3 linked regions of the Stegostoma tigrinum genome follow. The protein of the gene in region 1 interacts with the protein of each later gene in a pairwise test. Links are inferred from orthologs where the notes say so. Each region holds a gene or a part of one and is shown in the gene's direction. Other genes may lie near its edges. The genes, in order: plekhb2, stam2 and cytidine deaminase-like.

Region 1 (6,180 bases):
GGAACCACATCTAAGTTCTTCTTGAAAATATTCAATGTTTTGGTCTCTACTGCTTTCTGTGACAGACAATTCAACATGCTCACCACTCTCAGGATAAAGAGATTTCTTCAAATTTCAGTCCTGAATAGTCTCCCCTGTATCTTTAGACTCTGTCCCCAGTTCTGGACTTGGGTCCTTGGAAGTATCCTTCCTTCATTTAATGTCTTGTCCTGTTGGAATATTATATGTTTCTATGACATCCCTCCTCCATCTTCAAAACACCAGTGAATCTAGTCCTAACTGATTCAGCCTCTCATCTTAGATAACAAGGTGTAGAGCTGGATGAACACAGCAGGCCAAGCAGCATCAGAGGAGCTGGAAAGCTGACATTTTGGCTCTGGACCCTTCTGGATCCTATCTCTCAGCCTCTCTTCTTATCATTTTTCCTTACTCTGACATCATTTAGTGGTCCATTCTTATGTTTGCACACTCTCTTTCTGCCACATTCCAGTTAAAATTAACATCCGACCTGATTTAATCCATCTCAGTAAAATTCAGTTGAAGGTCACCATAACAGTACAGCTCTCTATTTTCCCAGTAATGTTACCAGTCCTCCATGAAACCCCTATCTCCCATCTAAACTTTAAGCCATGCATTTAACTCTGATCCCACATCAGGAGTGTGTTAGAATAATCTCCACTTGCCCGGATGAATGCAGCTTCAACAACACTCTAGAAGTTTGACACCATCTAGATCAAAGCAGCCCACTTGATTGGCCCCCCCTGTTCGCCCTTCAGCATTCACATCCTTCACTGCCGACACACAGTGGCAGCAGTCTGACCATACTACAAGAAGCACTGCAGTAATTCACTAATGCTCCTTTGACAACATCTTTTAAACCTGTGACCACTGCTACTTAGGATAGGGCTGTAGGTACAAGGGAGTAACACCTGCAGGCTCCCGTCCAGGTCACATACCATTCTGACTGGAACACTGACACCGGGTCAAAATAAAAACTGAAAGAATTGCGAATGTTGAAAATCAGGATCAAAAGCAGAAGTTCCTGGAAAAACTCAGCAGGTTTGACAGCATCTGTGAAGAAAAAAAATCAGAGTTAACATTTCGGGTCCGGTGACCCTTCTGACCTGCTGAGCTTTTCCAGCAACTTCTGTTTTTGTTCCTTCACAGATGCTGCCAGAACTGCTGAGCTTTTCTAGCAATTGGGTCAAAATATCCTGGAGCTTCTTTCCTAACTGTGTACCGACCAAAAGGATTGCAGTTAAGAAAGCAGCTGAGCCTCACCTTCCCCGGACAATGTGGGATACGCAATAAATAATTGCTTATTTGGTGATGCCCACATCCCGTGAATGAATGAAAACAAAACAAAAACCCATATGCCATTTCGCACTGATAGTTAATCGATTCTGGGCCTTTTTAAGTTTAGCTCATTGCTGATCATCTGGCATGGAAGCTGTCACCAGAGGTGTCTTGGGCTACAGATTGGAAGGTGTTGTCTTTTCTAGTCTACTGCAATTTTGAGAGGTTTCTCTCTGGGCTTCTGACTGGGGCTTTTTGCCAGGTTTCCACTATTTGTTGTGAATTTTAAAAACTTAAAATATTCACAAACTTAGTTCATTTTAGTGATAACCATCAGTAGGTCCAGCAGGATGTTTGCTGTTAGTTCATGGAGTTGGAAGGGCACTTGTCAATTGGGCATAGGACTGAATGTCGGTGGTATGGAGGATTTCCCGTATTCATAGTGATGCTTTACTTGGAACCACAAAGATCTGTAGGCTGAATTGTATTGAATATGGGCTGCACAAAAAGGCATTCAGCTCGAGTGGTCTACCTAATGTTTATTTTTTTTTCTCGACCGAATCGACAATCGTGATCCCCTATACCCCCTCCTCCCAACACCCCCTGAAGTGCGAATGTTAGAAATCAGAACAAAAACAGAAATTGCTAGAGAAACTCAGCAGGTGTGGCAGCATCTGCGGAGAGAACGCAATGACCCTTGTATAGAACACAGCCTAACTCTGTTTTCTCTCCACAGATGCTGCCACACCTGCTGAGTTTCGCCAGAAACTTACGTTATTGTTTCTGATTTCCAACAGCCTCAGTTCTTTGGGCCCCTGCTACCCATTCCGCCACCCTCAAACTCGTAGCTGGCTAACTTTATAAACAGAGTAAATAGAGAAGGGCCAACTTCAGCTGATTTGATGAAGATCTCAGGGAGGTTTCCCTTCGGGAGAAACGTCAAATAAGATGTAAACACCTGCTGGAGGACACATCCAAAGAAGACAGCCCTTTATCATTCGTGCCAATAGCGCTGGAACGCGTTGGGGCTGGGTGGATTCACAAGGAAGTCAAAGCAGGAAGAAGTGACCCCACCCAAAACGTCAACTTCCCGGCTCCTATGATGCTGCGTTATCTCTGACTCTAACCTCTGCAATTCTTCCTATTTCAAAGCCGGGAGTCTTTCCTTCGGCAGTCTGCGATGCTGGATGGGAAATGTAGTCTCCGTCCTCGGCAGAAAACGGGGAACGGGTTTGAATGGACTATAACTCCCAGAGGCGACCGTGGCAAGGAGGGCGGAGAATAGGTGGATCGCCTGAGGACGCACTTGTCTTGTGACAAATTGAGGTGACGGGGTGAGTGGAGCTGCTAGGGCTGAGGGTGAGTAGCGGTTGCAGGTGGTAATGGGGTTCTACGAGAGTCTTTGTTCCAGTTTGGAACGTTGAACTGTTGCACGGTAGTCTTTGGATTCTAATTTGGAACGTTAAACTCTTACATGGCGTTCCAAGGAGTGTCTCTGGATTTCTGTTTCAGATGGTCGCGGCTGTCGAGGGCCGGGTTCATAGCGTGGTCACTTGGCAAAGGATTTGACTGTTTCTGTCTGCTGGGTGCGATGTTTCCAGTGTATTTCTTAAACCTAACCCCAGCCCAATAAATACACTAATGTTGCGCATCAGCAGCAGTAGGAAGCAGAAAGAGGGAGACAGGATTTGGGTTCATGTATATCTTCGTCCAGCCCACACGTAAACCAGGAGAACTGTTTATTTTTGCTGCTTAAACTACTGACTGATCCCTTTCGGATTTATCCTACTTTCTGACTGACCCTTCTTTCCCACCCCTCCCCTTTTGAAATATAAAACTGTCATGGACTTAACAGGTCTTTTATTATGATATGAGAAGGAGTAGGCGTCTGTTTGTTTTAGTGTGTGATCGTCGTCATCTGTGACAGTATCATATGACTACTTAATCATTCCTCCACCCTCTCTAGTAAACAAAAGCACATCATGTAACTTGTGGAATTAATAGTATGTTTGAAATTGACACACATTGTGAACCAATAATCGTTCATGATAGAGTGCTACTTAAACCATTTCACAGTTTCCCCAGAACAAAATTGTGAATTTATTATTTATTAGTGTTTTACAATGTTTATGCTATGTGTTATTGTTTATCATTGAAATAACTTGCACCTTTGCAGAGTGCTTAATTGAATTAAGTCCGTGGAGGATGAAATGCTTTAAGTCTGGGCCACGTGGTACCACTGAGTCACTTTCCAATCCACTGTAGTTCAGACAGTCAAAGCTCGTCATCTGTCCTTTTAGGCTTAATGTCACTGAATCAGTTGTTATTTTGTTCGTTCATCCAGCTGCTAGTGCTTAGCTCCTCAGCTAATTCAGAATTCCCATAAAAAGTTTGAGATTTCTTGACATGATTTATTTAAGGGTGTTGCGCATCAGCATTAAATTGGGGCAGGTTTACTTGAACAAAATCTAGAAGTTGCTGGAAAAGCTCAGCCAAGTCTGGTAGCATCTATGAAGAAAAATCAGTTAATGTTTTGGGTCCGGTGACCCTTCTGATTTTATTACTGACTTACAGCATCTGCTCCTCTTTTGGTTTAGATTTACTTGCTGTTGGGTTAACGTTAATTCCAAATGCTTTGTGGTGAAGATGTATATTTTAAAACCTAAATATGTCTCAAGGCTAGAAATTAGTGCTTGCAAATTGAATATGAAGTCTTGGGTTTGTACTAGATTTGGGTATACACTACCAAAGTCCAAACTGGAGAGATTTTGAGAACACGGTGCTTGTGTGATATTGAGGAAGTCCTGCACTATAACCCTGCTTGCTTATACAAACTTTAAAGTAACAGCCAACTCGGTTGAATGTAAATCATTCCTGTGCAATTTTCAAAGAAAAGCAAGGGCTAATACTTTTTTTGGACCTACCCAAAAAGTGCTTCAAATCGTGTCAGTGATTTTGGGCAACAGTAGGGAATATTCAAAATGCTGGTAACAGCTCACTTTCCCAATTGATGAATAATGGGATGTGTGCAGTGTTGAAGAAATGGCCAGGGTCCCCATTTGACTGGTATAATGGTGAATAGGCAACTCCAACCCCCGAGTTTTGGATGATGCAGCTATTTGATCCATTTCTAGAATGTGGGAGGATAACCAAAATGCATTTGTGGCCATAACCTTCAAATTGTGGAAATTATCATAGCAGCCTGCCCTCTAAGAATTACATTGAGAGGCATTTCTATTCATTACTATTTCATTGGTAGGCCATTGAATGAATGTCCAAATCGGAGATCGTGTTAAAATTTCTCCCTGTCAGCACAAAGTGGTAGCATCACTTGGCCAAATATGCTATAGCGTGCTCTGTGCTGATTTAATGTATTTGTGGAGCCTGGTGTACAATTTGGCTGATAATTTTCATCAGTTACAGCAATGATCATGTAACTGACTCTAAAGTACATTTGGTTATCCTGAAGCTGTACGAGTTACTTTCTTCTAAGAAAAATCTATGGATTTGAGGAGAAGCTGAAGGTCCTGAAGCCCTGCAGTAGAACAGATTTTGGTAAGGGGAATCTTATCAGATTTTAAAACTTGAAGTATTTTCATAGGGTAAAGTTTTGTTGGAAAAGCAAGCACTTATTGACCATCCCAATTGCCCTTGTAGTGGTGACCGGCCTTGAACTGCTGTAGTCCTTCAATTGTACTGTTAGGAAGGCAGTTCCAGGATTTGATGGGATAGTATATGACATGGTAGGAAACATTGGAGATGCTGTTCCCATCTGCTGCCCTCGTCCTTCGAGGAGATCTGTGTGTATGGTTTGGAAGGTGCTGTTGATGGAGGCTTTAACTTGTGGATGGTACACGTTGCCACAGCTGTGGTGCAGTGGTAGAGGGTGTTGACATTTTATGTGCATTTGGCTTGAATGGTGCTGAGCTTCTTGAGTGTTGTTAGCACTTTGCATGTCTGGGGAGATGGAAAATATTACAATCACACTCCAGACCTGTGGTTTCTGAATGGTGGGCAGGATTTGGGGAGGTGCTAGGTCTCTGCAGAATTCCAGTTGTCGGTGAAATCCACGTCTTTGACTTGTGTAGCTACAGCACTTATGTAGCTGCTGGAGATCAATAATTGTTTAATTTTTAGCAAATCAGTTGCATAGCACTGTAAGAAGCCACAGTAAATCCAGCTTTAGAGTGCGGGGGGGAAATACAAAATAATACATTCATAAGGATTGAAAAACTAGCTGGAAATCAAACGGACTTTAAAACTTCTAAAAGGTTTTGAGTCCAACTTGCCACAGTGAAAAGAGAACTTTGGCATAGTATATGTAGATGTGACTAAAATAAATAATGCTGTACCTTTTGGAAGTGTTCAGAGGCAGAAACTCTTGTACTTTTTGAGCATAAATATTTAAAGCAGCAGATGATTCAAAACTCTGGAGATACAATCCAATGGGCATAGTTGAGACATGTGTTGGCAAATAACCTGCACAAACAACATCCTTTTGAGCTGTGAAGTTTTATGGAGTACACTTATTTGGTAGCAGATGCTTGGCCAATTTGTACACTTACCTCTGGATAAGTTAAACGTTTGAAGTTGAATTTTCATTATTTTTGTTCATAGACTCATGCTTCTGGCATTTAACTGGTCTCATGTCTCCACTTTTTTGTAGGTACTGAAATAATTGGTCCAAATTGTCTTGTTTATAACATGTGACACCCATGTCCTTACAGTTCTGAGCCTGTTATGTTCTTCTGCTCTCCATTTTCTCACTAACGAGGAGCAGCAATTTAGATCATTTGTAATTGCTTGTCATTATACCCTTTTTGTAGTCAGACCTGTTGCATCATCCTTTATACCCCCCCCCCATTGACTTGTTTGCAGATATTT
Region 2 (6,180 bases), on another chromosome or scaffold:
TCAACTGAGAGTGCTATAAATATCAAGACATCTTTTAATAACCTTGAACATTACCATCCCTATCTCCCTCGAGGAACATAAAATACCATTTCTGGCATATACAGCAGGGGAGCTCTCAGACAGCTGAATGGGGAAAAAAGTCATTTGTTTGTTTCAATCCAAGGACAGGGAGTCAACTTGCTCGCTGATATCTGCCAACTGAGAAGAGACATTTGCTCCCAATCTCTAGAAAAATACACACCACACCCCTAGTTTGCTTTCACCATTCCCCACAAAGCTTGCCGACTTAGGTCAGCAGGAAACTCAGTCTGTACCAAAGATCTGAAGAGTACAGTAGTGACAGAACGAGATCAGTTGTGTTTTGTAATATGGGAGCGGAAAAGCAGAACAAAGTCCACTGTCGCATCACAATGGTTTCCGGCAGCAATTTACACATGGGGGTGGGGGTCCTTATTCACTAATGCACGTGGCTTAGGTGGAAGGGAAGAAAATACATTTCTTCCTCCATTGCGATATACGAGCCGACCCATGTTTCATTTCAAAAGGAACTTCTTTAAATAATAATCTTTGCCCTCTCAGTACCACTGTAGTCCCTCACTGAGGAACCATCCATAAATAGGAAGTGATCCTGCAAGAGAAGGGAACACGGTGGGGGGGGGGGGGGTTAAATAGACTGCTGCTTTCGATTTGCAAACTGCTTTCAGTAAGCGAGCTTACTGCATTATTATAATGTTAATTAACGCAACACTGAAGAATAGCAGTGGATTTCAGACGCTTATGGAAAGAAATGGTAATTTGCCAACAGTGCCTGACCCGGATAGCTAATTGGGATCGGTACGGAACACAGCTTTAAAAATGTAAGCTCTCACCCGGCCGTCATTACCACGTTGTAGATGACCATGTAAGCAGTGGCGAGGGGTCCCGGACCCCTTCTTTTCTTCTGCGGCCCTTCATGAACCCCACGTTGATGTTCAAGCCCACTCCCGACCGACGCCATGGTGATCAGTCCGTCACTGAACTGCCGCGCGTGCGCAGTATTTACCACCACCTGGCCCCACCCCCTTCTGAAGGATTGGCTGGCTGCCGATCCCGCCTCCCGCACGTCTCCCTCGGTACTGCCCCCAAGATTGGCTGACCCTGAAATGCCACTCATGCATTCCCTGATAACAAAGTGTGAAGCTGGATGAACACGGCAGGCCAAGCAGCATCTCAGGAGCACAAAAGCTGACGTTTCGAGCCTCTCTGATGAAGGGTCTAGGCCCGAAACTTCAGCTTTTGTGCTCCTGAGATGCTGCTTGGCCTGCTGTGTTCATCCAGCTTCACACTTTGTTATCTCACGTTAACTCTATTTGCTCCTCCACAGCTGATGCCAGACCTGCTGAGCTTTTCCAGCAACTTTGTTTTTTGGTCCTCCCCGATACTGCCCTCTGCCAGAACGACCTTCCATTGCCGTTCCTGCGTTCCACCCCCTCCACGCTGCCCCCTGGTTTGGCTGACCTTAAATTGCCCCTCGTACATTCTTCCCTCGATGCTGCCCTCTGGACTGGCGGACAGCGAATTTTTTTTGCTGATGAAGGGTCTTGGCCCGAAACGTCATCCTTCCCGCTCCTATGATGCTGCATGGCCTGCTGTGTTCATCCAGCTCCACACTTTGTTATCTCTACACCTTATTATCTCGGATTCCCCAGCATCTGCAGTTCCTATTATCTCTGAGCGAATTTCCCCTCCTGTATCCTTCCCTGCAATGTCCCGACATCGGTACATGATGCTGGCTACCCACTGAATTACCATACCTCCTTCGGTGCTGCTCCCACGAAACCGGCAAATTGAGAATTCTGTCTCACGGTCATCCTCCTATGCTGCCCCCTGGACGGGCAGACAGCGAATTGCGCCACCCGAACATGTCAATTTACTGCCCCCTAGTTTGGCTGACCCCCCCCCCCACTACAGGAGGGCCGAGTGACGACCGCCTCCAATGGAAGAAAGTGGGGCGGGGTCAAAGAGGCGTCACCTGACCAGCGTGAAGTTATTATTTATTTTATAATTTCTTCACATCCCCCGATCACAAACTCCCTTCACCTCCTCCTGCGACGCCATTTCATCTCCCGGAGAAGGGGTGGAGTGAAAAACTGAGAATATTTATCCTACTTTCAGTTGTGAAAGAAACTGAGACCGTAAGGGGCAGATTTGGTCGGAGGCCTCGGCTGTTAGGATGTTCCAGGGGCTGGCGAAGGAGCGACTGTTACGGGCTTCGAGCTGAAGAGACGCCGAGGCCTGACGGCGGCCTATCTCCAGAAGGCTATTTCTCACTTAAAAAAAGTTTTCCTACTGTAATCCCAGCTATGCCTTTCTTCGCCACCAACCCCTTCGACCAGGATGTCGGTAAGTTATGCCTGTCAGGGTTGAGGGATTTTAAAACCGGCCCCGGGCTTTTAAAAACACACACTTTTAATTATATAAATGACACAACGCTTCTAAATGAGCTGATTATATCAGCTTGTTGAGTACCAAGGGTCTCCGGGAGAAAGGAAATGTTGCTCAGGGAATGATACAGCATTCAAGGCGGCCGTTCGGTCCCTCCTCCCGTGAGGCCCCCCGATTTTAGACCACCCACCCCCGCCAACAATCCTGCAACACCGTCCTCTTGGAACCCCAGGATTTGTCGGTTTGTTTTTGAGAATTACTGTTGAATTTGCACCCTTTCAGCCACTTGTTGCGTCAGAAAATGTTCCCTAATTTTCAAGTTCACAAGGATAAAACCTGATCTCTTTACCGTTCTGATAACTGATCCTTCTGTCACTCAAAGCTGCGTCTCATTTGCTCCACTGAAATCTTTTGAGCGGCTCGATCAGTTCTCATCTTAGCCTGTCAAATAAAAAAAGAGTTGTTAGAAAAAGTGATAGAGGTTTGGAACTCTCGTTCACAAATATTAATTTATGCTAAATCAGTTGTTAAAATTTATCTATGTCAGATGTCAGATTTGTTAAGCAAGGATATTAAGTGATTTTGGGCCTAAGATGAGTACGTGAAGGTAGGCTACAAATCAATTATAACCTCATTGAATGATGGAACAAGCTTGAGGGGCTGAATGGTCTACTCCTGTTCCTGTGTTTCAAACGCTAGAGATGGAATGAAAGCAGAATGTGCTGGAAAAACTCTGCAAGTATTTAGTTTTCATCTTAAATGCCTCTGCTCTTGGCACAAGATGAGTATACAGCATTGGATATGAAGTAGGAGGAGTCCATTCAGCCCTATAAGCTTGCTTTGCTATACAATAAGATGGTGGCTGTTCTGATCTTAGTCTGAGCTCTATGTTCCTGTCTGACACTTCTGCCATTACCCCTCCCAAAAACCCACAAATGCCCTGTGGTTCAAAAATCTATCTTGGTCTCAACTGTGTTCTGTGATAGCATCTACACTGTATTGGGTAGAAAATTACCAAGATAAGTAACCCTCTCAGAGGAGATATTAGTGACAGATGGAGTTTAACCCTAAAAAGTGTGAGGTGATACATTTTGGAAGGACAAACTTGAAAGCAGAATACAGGGTTACAGAAGCGTGGAGGAGCAGAGGGATCTTAGAGTTCATGTTCACAGTTCCCTGAAAGCTGCCACCCAGGTGGATAGAGTTGTTAAGAACGCATATGGTGTGTTAGCTTTCATTTAACAGGGACTGAGTTCAAGTGCCGTGAAGTTATGCTCCAGCTATACAAAAGCCTGGTTCGGCCACATCTGGCGTATTGTGTCCAGTTCTGTCATCTCATTACAGGAAAGATGTGGAGGCGTTGGAAAAGGTGCAGAGGAGATTTACCAGGATATTGCCTGGAATGGAGGGAAGGTCTTATGAGGAAAGGTTGACAGCGTTAGGGCTTTTCTCTTTAGAACAACAAAGGATGAGCGGTGACTTGATTGAGATGTACAAAATGATCAGAGGTATAGATAGAGTGGACAGCCAGAGACTTTTTCCTAGGGTGGAGGTAGCTATTACGAGGGGCATAGTTTTAAAGTGAGTTGAGGTAGATATAGGAGAGACGTAAGTTCTTTACTCAGAGTGGTTAGGGTGTGGAATGCATTGCTGGAGTGGGTAGTGGAGTCGGCCTCATTAGGGGCATTTAAGTGACTGTTAGAGAGGCATATGGATGATAGTATAAGGTAAGGGTGGAGGTTAGATAGAATTTAGCATTAGGGTAAAAGTTTGGCACCACAGAGTGGGCCGAAGGGCCTGTATGTTCTATGTTCCCTCAGTATTTTAAGTGGTCCCTTTGTTTGATACAGTGCAACCAAATTCTAGATTTACTCCATGAGGAGAAACCAGGCCAGCTTCTAGAACTAGGAATGGAACTTGACAGCATATTGTTTTAGATGGCCTGCATTTGCAAGCTCCCATTAATTGTATTTTCTTTTTTCCTTTATCTTGGATTTTGATGTCTTAAGCTTAAAAGAAACTATGCCAGTAGTTAAGCCACACATGCATCCCATCTGTAAATGTCGATTTCTTTGGATCTTGGGTCCTTTTAAAGAACAAAGAATGATACAGCACAGGAATAAGTCCTTCGGCCATCCAAGCCTGCACTGCCAAATTTGCCCCTCCATTGCTGAAACTGTCTTCACTTGCAGAGTCTGTATCTCTCTATTCCTTTCCTATTCATGTATTCGTCCAGACACTACTTGAAAGCTGCTATTATTTCTGCTTCCATCACCATCTCTAGCAATGCGTTCCAGGCACTCGCCACTCTGTGTGAAAAGCTTGCCTAGCACACCCCTTTTAACCCCCCACCTGCCTTGAACCTTGAACCTTGAACCTGTTCTTTTGCCTCCCTCAATATTCTGGCTTAGATCCCTTCAGGACCCAGGGACTTATGTACTTCAATATTTTTTAAGATGCCAAACACCTTGTTAATAGCAACCTGGCTTAGAAACTCGACAGAACCTTCCCAGGGATCATCCTCCGCCAATTCCTATTGTTTGGTGAATACTGACACACAGTATTCATTTAGGACCTCACTCACCTCTTCTCGCCTCACACGTAGATTGTCTCCTTTGCCCTTGAGTAGGCCAACCCTTTCCCTGGCTACCTTCTTACTTTTGTTATATATTATCAATAAGCCTTGGGATTCTCCTTAATCCTGTTTGCTAACAACATTTCATGACCTGTTTTAGCCCTTCTAATTCCTTGTTTAAGTTTTTACCGACTTTCCTTGTATACTTCATCAGTTTCCATCCTCCTGGACCTTATATATGCTTCCATTTTCTTTTTGATCAAGGTTGTAACATTCCTGGTCAACCAAGGTTTATGTAATTTGCCATGCCGATCCTTCATTCTCACAGGAATGTGCCTCTCCTGAACTCTTATCAACTGCTGTTTGAAATATCCCCACATGCCTGATGTAAATTTACCATGAAACAGCTGCCTCCAATCACAATTCTCCAGTTCCTGCCTAACCAGCCTTCCTTCTCCTTCTCCTCCTCCTCCTCCTGCTCCTTTGATGCTGCTTGGCCTGCTGTGTTCATCCAGCTCCACACCTTGTTATCTCAGATTCTCCAGCATTTGCAGTTCCTACTATCTCTGTAGTTCACCTTCACCCAAGGACTGCTATTATCACTATCAATGAGTATCTTAAAGCTCACGGTATTAGGATCACTACTCGTAGAATGCTTCCCTAGTGAACTTCACTGTCCTGGCCAGGCTCATTTCCCAAAGCCAGGCCTAGTATAATCTCTTCCCTTATTGGACTGTTCACGTACTGTGTCAAGAATCCCTCCTGAATGGTTCTTACAAATTCTGTCCCATCCAAGCACCTAGCATGTAGTGAGTCCCAGTCAATACAGGGGAAGTTAAAATCACTCATCACAATAACCCTGCTGTTTTTGCATCTTTCCAAAATCTGTCTACATATTCTCTCTTCTATCACCTGCTGGCTATTGAGGCCTGTAGTATACCCCCAGCACTGTGACTTCATCTTCCCTGTTCCTGAGTTCCACCCATATTGCCTCGCTGCACAAGTCCTCTGATGTATCCTCCCTTAGTACAGCTGTGCGATACTCCTCGAACAGTAATGCATCACCCCACCCATCTTCTCTCCCTTTCTATCACACCTGAAACATCAAAATCCTGGGAAGTTCAGCTGCCAATTCTGTCCCTCTTTCAGCCAAGGATAAAATAGGACATACGTACAGAAGC
Region 3 (6,180 bases), on another chromosome or scaffold:
CTTTAGAGAAAACAACCCGAATTCTTCTAGCCTCTTCTTAAAGCTCAGACCCTGTAATTCAGGCAGCATCCTGGTAAACCTCTTCTGCGCTCTCTCCAAAGCCTCCACATCCTTCCGTTAATGTGGCAAACAGAACTGAATGCAATACTCTAAGTATGGCTTAACCAAATTCTTATAAAGCTGCAGCATTACTTCCTGACTATTGTACTTAATTCCCTGAACAATAAAGGCAAACATGCCGTATGGCACTTTACCACCCTATCTACTTGCGCGGCCACTCTCAGGGTGCTATAGGATTGAACCCCAAGATTTCTCTGTACATCACTGTTGTTCAGGAGTGCTGCCATTAACTGTATAATTTTCCTTAACATTTGAACTCCCACATGCAATATCTCATGCTTGCCTGGATTAAACTCCATCTGCCACTTTTCCGCCCATATCTGCAACCGATCTACATTCAGCTCTAACCTTTGATAACCTTCTACAGTATCCACAACTCCACCGATCGTTGTATTGTCTGCAAACATATGAGCTATCCATCTATGTTTTAAATCCAATTCATTTACATGTGCCACAAACAGAGGTCCCATTACACATCCCTATGGAACACCACTAGTCACCGAACTGCAGGCTGAAAACCTTTGTTCCATCACCACCCTCTGCCTTTTGTGGGCAAGCCAATTCTGAATCTATGTGGCCAAGTCACATGTATCCTTATTTACTTTATCAAATCTGTTTGTGATTTTAAGTGTCTCAGTTAAAATTCCACGGCGAGAATGTGAAACTGAAACCATTTCCCATCCACGTCAAATCCTCGCTTGTGTTACAGTCCCTGTGTACACAGTCTTTGGGATATACTTGTTCATCCTAGGAGGCCTATAGATCTGTGAGCCGAGGACTCCACGGTCAGTGAAGCAGAGCTTTAAGGGGATTGGCCTGTGGGAATGAGCTATACGTTCACGGGACAGGAGTGTGTGGATTTCAGTTCTAGCATTTGTATTTGTGTGTCCAATGTAGGTGTATTGGCCATGGACTATACATCTTTGGAGCTTACAGGATGTGATTCAGTTGGTTTAAAGTACGTTGGTATTGTACAATATAGATAATTGGGGAATAGATCCTCGTTGATGTATTGGATAGAATTCTGTAGGTTGATTGAGCAGCGATCTCCGAGGGTGTGTGTTATGAAGGTTCATGCAGTGAAACAGAGAGACAGGCTGTGTGAGGAGGAGGCAGCACGCGAGACAGATGGATAGACAGCATGAGCAAGTGAGGGAGAGAGACAGAGCGAAAGACAGGTATAGCAGCAAAGAGACAGAAAAACAAATAGAACAAAAGCGTGTGTGGGGTGACTGGGGGTGTCATATCTGCAGGGTAGAGATATTTTCAGAAAAGCCTAGGTACCACCACCATATAAAGTAAAAGCTGCATGTTATTTGTAATTGGCACGATAAATAAAACAATCCAGAGAATGGCTAAAACACTCACCGCAACGGAAGCTGCTCCATGCTTAGTCAACAACCCTTACAAACAGAAATTAAAGACAATGCTTTATTGATCAAGGTTCAGCTTTTTGTCAAATTATGAATAACAGTGGCATTTAATAAGTTATTTAAATGTTGAGCTACAGCCACACAGCAACCTTTCAATTAATAATAGTAAAAACTGAAACTGCTGGAGAAACTCAGCAGCTCTAGCAGCATCTGTGGAGGGAGTAACAAAATTAGTGTTTTGAGTCCAATATGACTCTTTTACAAAGCAGTCAGGCACTGCCCAGTTCAACAGTGTGCTGATACGCAGTAAATGCAGGAGCTATAATGTGCATAGCAAGCTCCCACAAACAAACAATGACTTGAATGAGCTGATATGTTGAGGGAGGAACATTGGCAACAACATAGGGAGACATCTTCCCTGCTGCTCTGTTCATCCACTTGCATCATCATGAACATTGACCAGAACCACAGAAAAGCACAGACAACCTTAGTTTAAAATCTCATTCTAAGGTCATCTCTGATAACGTAGCAGTCAAGCTGACATTTACTATATTCCTATCTTTGCAAACTTAGCTCTTGGGGAATATGATCCTGTGGCACAGGAAGTTACAAAATGATATGGTTTTGTCAGTCTAACCACTGACTGCAGGCAGGAGGCAGGGCTTTCTGTTACTGCAGGTTACTGCTTACCTTCCTCAAATCTTGATCCATCACAATTCCAAGCATGCTGCTGAATTAGTGCTTCGGAAAACCAATTACCACAGAGTGGACACTCCATTCTGCTTTCATAGTGGTTATCCAGTGCTATGTGTGAATGGGAAAAGATGGGTAAAAGGTTAATCTGCTGGTTTAGTCTCTTTCTCTGACCAGCGAACCTGTTTGTCCAGTAGATCTAGCTCTGATCACTGGATCTCTGTTCCTGATCTTCAGATCACTTTCTTTGCTCCCAATTCATCTCTCTCTTTTGGGGCCCTCTTTATACAATGAACTTCTCTCCCAACCATTTAGATCACTCTTTAGTCACTGCTCCCAGAGTGCACATAGCGGATCTCCAGCCTCTCCCAATGCATCTTCTTTTGATCTCCCTCTGCACAATGGCTTTTTCTCTGATTAGTTTCAAATAGATCTCTCTCTCTCTCTCTCTCTCTTCCCCCACCCCCCCCACAACCTCGCTCTCTCTGATTCTGCTGTGGAGTTCCCAGAATTGTCCCTCCCTTTACTTGTTACGCACGTTCCTCAGCTGACTCATGTCTTCCTCTCTCCTCCTATTAACAGACTAAAGTGCAACTGTGGATTATAGCTGACGTGTGCAATCAGGTTACTATATTATCATTGTGTAGCTTGTGGAACTGTGCTGAGACTTACGGTGTTTCACAGACCAACTGATGTAGCCAAGACAAGCCAGCTTTGAAAAGAGGTAGGAATCATTTTCAAATATTGACATTATCTTGCTCAGCATTAAGCGTACTTTAAATCCTGTTACGTAACAATTGTAAGTCTGATATGTGACATCTATGACCATCAAATCAGTCACAAAAGATCAACACCTCTGGAATCGGTCCAAACTCATACTTTCACTTCAGCAAGTACAGTTCTTGCACGTTTTCTAGCATCCCTTAGACAATGAGAGGAATCTATGATTAAAACAAAACTGTAACTAAACTTTGGATGGCTTGAGTAATAAAAAATAATCTTTGGCCTTTTTACAAATTAGTTCTTGACATAAATAGCTGCCTCCTTTCAGGAAGTAGACTGCATTTAGGTAGGCAAATTATCTGAACTGAATAAGTCTAGGAGAGCTGGGGGCCATGCTTACAAGGGCAGAAGCATATCACATGTCGGTAGCTGTCGTCCAAACAACAGTGAATCTGGGGGATCAGACGACAGTTGTCTCATGCAGTGAAAACTGATTCTCTCTATTTCTTCAGCCAACACTGTACTAGGAATGGTGATCATCTTGCATAAGTGAGTATAATGTAATGTCAATCAGAGCCAATATCATCTCTGGGACTAGAGATAATGGGAACTGCAGATGCTGGAGAATCCAAGATAACTAAATGTGAGGCTGGATGAACACAGCAGGCCAAGCAGCATCTTAGGAGCACAAAAGCTGACGTTTCGGGCCTAGACCTTGTTATCATCTCCAGGACTACTTTTGATTAAGGAGGTCAAACAACAATTTCCCATGAATCTCTCCCTGTTTCATTTGGGTTTGATCAGATCTGTTTTCTATCTCTTCTATTAACCTGATTTGGTTCTGGGTAGAGGAAGAGAGCTTGTGAGTGTATGTCATAGAGTCATACAGCATGAAATAGGCTATTTGGTCCAAACAGGCCAACCATAATCCCAAACTAAACTAGTCCCACCTGACTGCGCATGCCCATATCTGTCCAAACATTTCCTATTTATGTGTGTAATGTCTTTTAGGTATTGTAACTTTACCCACATCCACCACTTCCTCTGGAAGTTCATTCCAGACACAAACTACACTGTGCGGGGAAAAAAAAGTTGCCCTTAAGTCTTTTTTAAGTTGCTTCCCTCTCACCTTAAAAATATGCTTCCTAGTCTTCAAATCCACAACTCTATGGAAAAGACACCTGCCATTAACATTATCTATATCCCTCATTATTTTATAAACTTCTTTACGGTCACCCTCTCAATCTCCAATGTTCCAGTTAATAAAGTCACAGCCTATCCAGCCTCTCCTTATAATGAAAATCCTCCATTCCTGGCAATATCCTGGTAAATCTTTTTTGGACCCTCTTTAGCTTAATAATATCCTTCTTATAACAAAGTGACCAGAACTGGACACAGTACACCAGAAGAGGTCTCACCAACGTTTTGTACTACCTCAACATGCTGCCCAACTCCTATACTCAAAAGGTCTGAACAACGAAAGCAAGTGTGCTAAATGCCTTCTTAACCAACCTATCTATATGGAATGCAACCTTCACAGAATTATGAATATGAACTCCCAGGTCTCTTTGTTCTACAACACTACCCAGGGTCCCACTATTAATTGTAACGGTCCTGCCATTATTCATTTTACCAGAACGTAACATCTCACATTTATCTAAATTAAACTCCATCTGCCAAGCCTGAGATCGTTGGCCCTTAATCAAGATCTCTTTGTAATCTTGGATCTCTTTCTTCACTGTCCACTATACCACCAATTTTGGCGTCATCTGCAAATTTACTAACCATGCCTTCTTATCTGAATCATTTCTGTAAATGACAAACAAGAGGACCCAGCACGATCCCTGTGGAATAGCACCATTGACAGGCCTCCAGTCTGAAAAGCAACCCTCCACCACAACTCTGTTTTCTGCCATTAAGCCAATTTTAAATACAATTTGCAAGCTCACCCTGAATCCCATGTTATTCAACTTTACTAATTAGTCAACCATGTGGAACCTTGTCAAAGGGTCTACTAAAGTCTAAGTAAACAACATACATCACTGTGCCCTCATCAATTTTCCTGGTCACTTCCTCAAAAATCTCAATCAAGTTTGTGACACACTATTTCTCTCACATAAGACTGTGCTGACCATCCCTAATCATTCCTTGCCTCTCAATGTGCATATAAATCTTTTCAGAATCACCTCCAGCAACTTAACCACCACAGAAGTCAGGCTCTCAAATTTATAGTTCCTAGGCTTCTCCCTACATACCTTCTTAAACAAAGGCACAATACGGTAGTTACAAAGTGTCCAGTGGCTATTCCTCTATCAAACAGATATTCAGTTTTGGAACTGTAGAAGGGGATAGTCTCTCTGAGGAAAATTGTAGGGGCAGTCAGTTATTGGACGCTTGAAATAATTCTTATGTTAGGCAGCATTTGATGGGATTTAATAAAATGATTGTTATAGGGGACTACTATCAGGGACGTAGACGGAAGATTCTGCGGCAGTGAGCATAAATTTAGCATGGCTTGTTGCTTTCCCGGTGCTAGGATTAAAGACACCTCACAACATTTCAAGCAAATTGTTAAACGTGGGATCGAGAAGCCACAAATCATTGTATACATTGGTTGGAATGACACTTTTAGGGAAAAGATTAGAGCAGTGTAGAGTAAGTTTGAGAGGTTAGGTAGAAAATTAAAAAATAGAACCCTGAAAGTAGTAATTTCTGGTTTACTCCCAATGCCAAACTCAAACAAGGGAAGAAACAAAAGGTTAAAGGAGATGAATCAATGGTGAACAGCTGTGAATTGCTAGGGATTCGGGTTTTTGGTCGGTTGGAATACTTTCTGGCATAGAAAGAGCTGTTCAAACAGGATGGGTCGAATGTCAACTGGAAAGGGATCAATAGCTTGGCAGGGCAACTAGCTCATTCCATTAAGGGAGACTTTATACTGACAGAGAGGGGGTGTGAAGGAATTCTAAGCAGCAGTGTAAACAGAAGGATTGATAGGGAATAAAAACGGAAGTTGCTGGAAAAGCTCAGCAGGTCTGGCAGCATCTGTGAAGGAAATAAACAATTAACATTTCAGATCCGGTGACTCTTCCTCAGTTCTAGACCAGACCCGAAACATTAACTCAGTTTTTTTTTCCTTCACATGTGATCCCAGACCTGCTGAACTTTTCCAGCAACTTTGTTTTTAATCCTGATTCACATCATCTGCAGTTCTTTCGATTGGTGGGGAATGTTCTGAACGTGAGGAGAGCATGTCAATTAGAAAAGACAA

The links.
Region 2: the proteins of plekhb2 (region 1) and stam2 interact in binary tests that used the Homo sapiens proteins (3 or more experiments, as listed by UniProt). The two-hybrid records come from large-scale screens. The link is inferred for Stegostoma tigrinum from reciprocal best matches to the Homo sapiens genes PLEKHB2 and STAM2.
Region 3: the proteins of plekhb2 (region 1) and cytidine deaminase-like interact in binary tests that used the Homo sapiens proteins (3 or more experiments, as listed by UniProt). The two-hybrid records come from large-scale screens. The link is inferred for Stegostoma tigrinum from reciprocal best matches to the Homo sapiens genes PLEKHB2 and CDA.

Annotation. Positions count from the first base shown.
Region 1 is NC_081367.1:13,150,231-13,156,410, forward strand, and holds the start of plekhb2 (pleckstrin homology domain-containing family B member 2), read left to right. Parts: upstream 1-2,425; 5' UTR 2,426-2,630; exon of another isoform or gene 2,631-2,655; intron 2,656-6,180. UniProt on the Homo sapiens protein: Involved in retrograde transport of recycling endosomes.
Region 2 is NC_081360.1:97,872,818-97,878,997, forward strand, and holds the start of stam2 (signal transducing adapter molecule 2), read left to right. Parts: upstream 1-1,989; 5' UTR 1,990-2,342; coding exon 2,343-2,382; intron 2,383-6,180. Other genes in the region: hacd2 (very-long-chain (3R)-3-hydroxyacyl-CoA dehydratase 2), read right to left, coding at 870-997.
Region 3 is NC_081391.1:26,465,315-26,471,494, reverse strand, and holds the start of cytidine deaminase-like, read left to right. Parts: upstream 1-2,152; 5' UTR 2,153-2,171; intron 2,172-2,183; coding exon of another isoform or gene 2,184-2,271; exon of another isoform or gene 2,272-2,328; intron 2,329-2,720; exon of another isoform or gene 2,721-2,768; 5' UTR 2,769-2,910; intron 2,911-6,180. Other genes in the region: uncharacterized protein LOC125447215, read right to left, coding at 1,489-1,523, 2,184-2,271. UniProt on the Homo sapiens protein: This enzyme scavenges exogenous and endogenous cytidine and 2'-deoxycytidine for UMP synthesis.